Linked DNA regions of Canis lupus familiaris. The protein of the gene in region 1 purifies or fractionates together with the protein of each later gene. This does not show direct contact. Links are inferred from orthologs where the notes say so. Each region holds a gene or a part of one and is shown in the gene's direction. Other genes may lie near its edges.

Region 1 (3,829 bases):
ACTCCAGGATCACGCCCTGGGCCAAAGGCAGAGACTAAACCACTGAGCCATGCTGATGTCCCTGTTAAAAACTTTTTTAAAAGTTGAGGTCATCCTACTGTTTAGCAGTTATTGATTGCCACTCACTTTAAAAATCGTGTGACTGCAAGTTGCCTCAAAGAATCCCCCATCTCTGTGCCTTCCCCACTTCCCAGCTCCTTTCCCCTCCTTGCATTTTATCATTTCTCACTCTGGACTGGCTTCTGCTCCCTCTGCTCCACTGGAACTGCCCTTACCAACGTCACCCATGAGCTCCTCGTTCCCAAACCTGACGGACACTTCTTAACACCTGTCATCCTTGACCACAGAATTGGCTAGTTTTCATCACTTCTTCCTCTTCTCTTCCTACTCCTGCTACTTGTCCTCCTTTGATTCCTTCATCAGCTCCTCCTCCCCACCAGCTCCTTTATGTTGGCTATTAAATGTTGGGGTAAAACTCTGGGCATATATCCATAGTCCTCTTCGCATTTTATTTGCTCTGCAGGTTACCTCAGAGGTACCTGACTTCAGCTATCTCCACTTGAGACCCCACCACACTTCCTTGAGGTTCAGATCCCATACACTCAACTGTGCCTGTGTCACAAGTACTTCACACTCAACAGGTCCGAAACAGAACTGTAAGATTTCCACCATGAACCTGTTCCCTTTCTCCCCAAATGGCCCTGCTACATATCTGGCTGCTTAGGCCAGCTTACCCACCCAATTGCCAAGTCACCTTGGCTTCCCTTAGTCTTTCTCCCCATCTCCCTTCCTCCTGGTATACTCAGTCACTGAGTTCTTCTAAAAACTAATACCTTCCAAAAATCTCTCCATGCCTTTCTCTGCTCTCTGGGATGAGGCCCAAAGCCCTCAGTGCCTGAAAGACTGCAGTGGCCTTCTGTCTGGACTCTTCGAACCTTTGTGGTCTAGAGCAACTTGTCTTTCTAAAATAGAAATCTTATGTCAAGCCCCTGTTTATTTATAACCCTTCCATGGCTTCCTTTTGCTTTTGAGATAAAGTCTAACTTCCCTTCCCCAACTCGCAAGGTCTTTTATGACAGTGCTCCTGCCAATCTTGCACACCTCAACTCCATCACTTTGTAACCCAGCCATCCCAAATTACGTGCAATTCCCTGAATGGGCTGTGTTCTCTCACTCTTCTATGACTGGATGTGTACTACTGTACCTCCTACCTGGAAAACCATTTCTTTTACTTTGTTTCCTTGCTTATGTGACACCTCTGGAAAGACTTCCCTGTTGTCCCACTTCCTTCTGGCTTGGTTAGGCACCAGGTACCTCTTTTCCATTTTTATAACACCTTGTCTCCATATATATCATACTGTCACTGTTTTTTCAGTCTGTTTTCACTAACTAGACTGAGAGCTACATGAAGGAGGGACCTTGTTTTCATCTCAGAACCCTGGGGGCCTATTCAGCATGGTACTCTAGCCACATGCATTAAAGGAGTGGCTGACGAGTTAGTGTGAAAGGAAACAGGGAGGTAAAGTGTAGCTGATAGTGGCATGCTGTACCTCTTGGAGTAAAGGAAAGTTCCAGAAGTTTGAGTTCAATTTGCAGTTGAGATAGATCCATACCATGGAATATTATTTAGCTACGAAAAGGAATGAAGTTCTAATACATGCTACAACATGGATAAACCTTAAAAACATGATGCTGAATGAAAAACGCCAGACATGAAAATTCACATATTGGATTCTGTTTCTTTTTTTTAGATTTTTAATTTATTTATTCATAAGAAATACAGAGAAAGAGACAGAGACATACACAGAGAATCAAATTCCCTGCAGGGAGCCTGATGCGAGACTTGATCCCAGGACCCTGGGATCAACACCCTGAGCCAAAGGCAGATGCTCAACCACTGAGCCACCCAGGCATCCCTAGGATTCTGTTTCTATGAAATGTCCAGAGTTGGCAAATCTATATAGAAAGTAAGGATAGTAGTGGTTTCCAGGGGCTGGGAGTTGGGGGGTAAGGTGGAAAATGACTGCTAATAGGTATGGGGTTTCTTTTTGGAGCAATGAAAATGTTTTGGAATTAGATTGTGATGATCAATATACGACTTTGTGAATATAGTAAAAGCCACTGAACTGTATGGTTTAAAAGGGTAAATTTTATGATATGTGAGTTACATCTCAATAAAGCCATTATTAAACAGATCAATGTAGGTTTTAGTACCTAGGACATTGTGTACATTTGAATATCAATATGATGATCCAAGTACAATTCTTGGGACACCCGGGTGGCTAAGCATTTGGGTGTCTGCCTTTGGCTCAGAGCGCGATCCTGGAGTTCCCAGATCAAGTCCCACATCAGGCTCCCTGCGTGGAGCCTGCTTCTCCTTCTGCCTGTGTCTCTGTGCCTCTCTCTCTCTCTCTCTCTCTCTCTCTCTCATGAACAAATAAATAAAATCTTTAAAAAAATCCAAGTACAATTCTTGCAATATATTGATGTCATAGTGCTGGATGGAGGACTTCTATTCCATGTTTTGATTTTGAAACACATGTTTTTAAATAAAAATCTGACCTTTTAGTGATAGAAGAACTCAGTTGATCTACAAATATTATTGATGCTCCAATTTGTTAAATGTGTATTATTTGGCCAGCCAGGTGCTGGAGGAATAACTTGAGAAGTGTTGTGTGTTTAAGTTTTATGAACTGATGGATGGAGGTGGAGGTGGTAAACACATTTCTAACATGATTACACTGTCATGTTGGGATACCTTATTTTATGTACAGATAATTTGAAGTTATTTTTTATTTTGTTACATTCCTAATCACTTACTTATATCTTGATCTAGAAATGCAGTGATGCTGCATTTGCTGTACCCTAGGGAATGTTTTCCCCTCTTGTCCCACTGGATTATATGAATATTAAACTCTTAGATTTGCAAATATAGTAATACTTTTAAATGTAACTGCATTCAGTCTAGAAATTTGTTCTGAACCACAGAGGACTATGCTAAGAGTTCTTCTGTTATCAGTCCAAAGGGATGTGTGTGGTACAGAAGTAGCCTTTGTCCAAAAGAAGAGCTTATATGGTTCTTTTATTATTTCCAGGTCTTTTGGTGGGCCTTGTGCTTCGATATGGCATTCACGTTCCGAGTGATGTAAATAATGTGACCCTGAGCTGTGAAGTACAGTCAAGCCCAACTACCTTATTGGTAAATGTTAGTGGAAAATTTTATGAATATACGCTTAAAGGAGAGATTAGTTCACACGAACTCAATAACGTTCAAGATAATGAAATGCTTAGAAAGGTAAGTTCTTTGTTAAAGGGAACATTTGGATTTTTTTTTAAGTGTATAACTAGCAGCAAAGCAATTCAGGAGAAGAATTAATTAATTTTAATGATGTTTAAAATCATTCTTTTAAAATGGAGAAAAATCTCAATTAACAAGTGTAATATAATGCTAAGGAAATGAATGGACATCTGTCCATTTCATTTTCTGATTGAGGCTAAGTACTCTAATCCTTTTTGTTTCATTCAGTGATATTTATGATTGTAATAAATGGTGATCAGTATTGACTTAAGCAGAATTTATAAGCATTTCTTTCAATTTGCAGATGGTCCTTAGAGTTTTATGGTCCTTCAGCACATTGAGTTTATTTGATAATACCTAAAATATTCCATTAATATTTCTTAGGATATTATTATTTTTTTCTTGTTTTGACTGCATTGTGTCTGGAGGAGAATTCAGTCTTTCTTGATTCATAATCTGGCACAACGTCAGGGGCTTCATTCTGAGTATCAGTCACTGTACCATGCTGTGTATCGAGCTCCATGTGGGAGG
Region 2 (3,829 bases), on another chromosome or scaffold:
AAGTGTGCCATTTTGTTATTTGTTTTCTATGCCTTATTTCTTATCTATCCCTCTTTTCCTCTTTTATTGTTTTTTAGGTTTAACAAATTCTGATTTTTACACTGTTTTAATTCCTCTATTAACTTTTTAAAAAATATTTTATTTATTTATTCATGAGAGACACAGAGAGAGGCAGAGATATAGGCAGGGGAGAAGTAGGCTCCCCGCAAGGAGCCCAATGTGGGACTTGATCCCGGACCCCGGGATTACACCCTAAGCCGAAGGCAGATGCTCAACCACTGAGCCACCCAGGCATCCCCCCTATTAACTTTTTAACTATATGTCTTTGATTTTTTTTTCTGCATGTATATATATTTGCACTAAAGATAACCATATGGAACTTTAAGATTATGATGATTTACTTAAATTAGTACTGATTTAAATGCAGTGAAACAGCAATTTTGCACTCATACCTCAAAGAGCAGCATTCATGAATTGTGTCATCAGGACACTGGTACCATGGATTTACTGAAAAATTAGTTTTGTGGTCAAATAAGTTTGAGAAATGGTACAATCATATCTCCCTTCTGTATATCTACAATGTAGATTAGCATATTAAAAAGTTGTCAGAAGCCTTGCAGAAAAAAAGAAGCTGCTTCATTTTCCTTGAAGGAAAGGTTTCCAAAACTCTTTGACTACAGCATCTTCCCTTTTTTTATGTATCCTAACAACCTGCAGAAATAGTGTTTCACATAACTCACTTGACAAACACTAGTCAAGCAAACAATAGAAATGAAATATGGGCAACTTATTTTTAAATCATTAAGAAATACTGTATTTTTGAAATAAAATTAAGTGTCATCCTTCCCTACAACCTCTTTGAAACCATCTAATGTTCTTTTATTCTTTAAGTGATTGAAGCAAGTATACAACATGTTTATCTGTAAAATCTGTTTCCATTTGTAGGGGATGTGATCAACCTTGGTGACAGACAGCTCACTGTTATGCACATGCCTGGTCACTCCAGGGGCAGTATTTGCTTACATGACAAAGACCGAAAGATTCTCTTCAGTGGAGACGTCGTGTATGATGGATCACTGATTGACTGGCTCCCGTACAGCAGGATAAGTGACTATGTTGGAACCTGTGAACGTCTGATAGAATTAGTGGACAGAGGTCTGGTAGAGAAGGTGCTTCCTGGGCACTTCAATACCTTTGGTGCTGAAAGGCTTTTTCGATTGGCTTCTAACTATATTTCAAAAGCTGGGATATGTCACAAAGTTTCTACTTTTGCCATGCGATCTCTTGCGAGTTTAGCCTTACGTGTAACAAATTCTAGGACCTCACCCTAGTATCTATACTGATGACCTATTGTGATGAATTCTGTAAATTAATCAAATTCATTTTGTGCTGTTTAAAATGATTAATAGTGAGCATTTCAAGAAGTGCTTTATTAGCGAAAAAAAGATTGAGAATGAGTAAGCCAAAAGTTCTTTGTTTAAATTTTTTCCTTTCTTCCAAATAAGAAATCACTTAAATAAGCTTTATAATTTGCCAAGCTCTCGTCTTGTAATATTTGTCATCTTGTAATATTCCAGAAATGACACAGAAATCTATGTGAAAGCAAAGAGGCATTTTGCAGTAACAGAAAGAACTGTCCTTGCCTTCCATTTGTCTTATTTTATTTCCTACGTGACCTAGAGAAAGAGGCATAAAATTTTATGTTTATACTCCAAACTTGGTATTTTGAGTATATTCTTTAAAGATAAAGGTTCTTGAGTTTAAAATACATTAGGACTCAATACAAACATAAAAATTAATATTTAGAATGACAGCTAAAATAATCCATTGTTATGGCACAGAGTTTTTATGCTTCATTTATTTATTCTTAATGTAATTATGGTGTGTATTATATGTTGTATAATTTTACTTACAGAGTACAATGAATTTTGTTTTATTGCAAAGCTTTAAATATAAATTGCAGAGTGCTTCAGTAAAAAGCTACTATATAGCGTTGTTTGTTATGTGAGTGTAATATTTTCGATCATAAAAATGAAATTCAAATGTCTGTAATCTAATTACAAATTGTCAGATTTCTCAAAAGGACACTGTCAGGCAAATTTGAAAATATACACATTGAAAATAATTTTTTATTATATCCTATTTTAATATTAACAGCTATTATAAACAAAATTTTTCTTGTTAAATAGCAGCTTCACTATATGTATCATATTTTATAGTATCAGAAAACTATAGAGATCTACAACATCCTGATATAAATCATTCTTTTACTTACCATAACATACATGTGTACCACAGAAGGCTTTTCAGATGAATTGCAAAATACACATTAGATATTGACTTAGATTAATTGCCTTTTTTATCCTGATTCACAACACCTATTCCTGTTCAGTATTCTTTGTCTTGAATAAAAAGTCTACATTTATAAAGTTATAAGAAAGGTTACCCACTATTTAGTAAAATATTTTAGTTTGGTGCTCTTTATAATTTATTAAAAAGCCTTTTGGAATATTTCATAAAGGTTTTTTAAACAGGTTTTTCACTGCCTTTTTTATTATTGACATGTTCAAACCCAAACTGAGATAGCTTTGGAAACCAGATTTTTTAGTCTTAAGAAGGTTTAGGAAATTTTTATTTCTGAAAAATTAGTAAATGTTCCCACCCTATACCCACCCAGGTTCTTTAGTCTTTTATTCATTCAACACACACACACACACACACACACACCATATGCATATACACAGTCACATAAATACATACATGCACAGTATTGTGCTAAACACTGTGGAAGTTTAAAAAGTCAAAGAGACTACATCTTAGCTGGAAGTAGAAAGCAAACAAAACATGACTAATATTATATGCAGGTTGAAGCTAATACAAATTACAGAATAGTTTCAGGGACATAAATGGAGGGATGTGGAGTTTGGTGAAGAAAAGATTCCTGAGGGAGAGGTTTTTTAGTCAGATTTGGAAAGATGATTTGTTGGGTAGTCAGGGTAGGGGACAAGAAGAGCCAAGAACAGGGATGGAAAGCATTGCTGTCTGAAGTAGGCTATTCCTTGTGACAATTTAAATTTAATTTTCAGGAATCTTAGATCATCCAAACACCAAGTATTTAGCATGAGAAAGGTGGGTTTGTGATTGTATATATGAGTCAAGCTGTACTGCCACCTGCCACCAAATGAGCATTCTCATTCAAGGCAGTAGGTCTGTTTCAATTGATAGTTCAACATCAAGAATATAGATTTGGTTCAGGGCAACTACAATCACTTAATGAGCCTTAAATATAGCCATTATTTTTATATCAGTAGCACAAAAGAAAACCAAAAGTCCTTAACCATTGACCATTTTATCATACTTTAGGACTTTTAAAAAAATCAGGGTATAGTAGGCACTAAGTTTTATTGAGAAATATTTAAGCCTGATGAAGGCTTTATTTCTTGAAAGTACAATTTTTCAAAACATGGTTAATTTTATTTTTAAATTTCCAATTTTTTTTCAGTTTTTCAAGTTGGACAAAAACATAAGACTGATATTTTGCTTTTGTTTCAGTATGAATAGATTGGGGAAAGGATCTATCATTCATTTAGTGCCCATGCTATGCATTTTAAAATATGCATTATTTGGTTTAATCCTGGCCCCGTGCCAAGAAGTAATTGACCAGCCTCACACAACATAACTTTGAACAAAGCTGGTAATTGAACACAGGTCTATCTGCCTCCCAAACTGTGCTCTTTCTCTTGTACCTGCACAATAACATAAAATTGGCAAAGTGTATTTTTACTTTTCCAGATGCCACATGTGCCAAGAATAAATCAAGTGATGTTAA

Evidence for each region.
Region 2: the proteins of SLC9A6 (region 1) and MBLAC2 purify together in Homo sapiens (co-immunoprecipitation; 3 studies listed by BioGRID and IntAct, counting the BioPlex papers as one, with this or other methods). This does not show direct contact. The link is inferred for Canis lupus familiaris from reciprocal best matches to the Homo sapiens genes SLC9A6 and MBLAC2.

Annotation. Positions count from the first base shown.
Region 1 is NC_049260.1:107,361,958-107,365,786, forward strand, and holds part of SLC9A6 (sodium/hydrogen exchanger 6), read left to right. Parts: intron 1-3,095; coding exon 3,096-3,295; intron 3,296-3,829. UniProt on the Homo sapiens protein: Endosomal Na(+), K(+)/H(+) antiporter. Mediates the electroneutral exchange of endosomal luminal H(+) for a cytosolic Na(+) or K(+).
Region 2 is NC_049224.1:18,615,591-18,619,419, forward strand, and holds part of MBLAC2 (metallo-beta-lactamase domain-containing protein 2), read left to right. Parts: intron 1-945; coding exon 946-1,331; 3' UTR 1,332-3,829. UniProt on the Homo sapiens protein: Acyl-CoA thioesterases are a group of enzymes that catalyze the hydrolysis of acyl-CoAs to the free fatty acid and coenzyme A (CoASH), providing the potential to regulate intracellular levels of acyl-CoAs, free fatty acids and CoASH.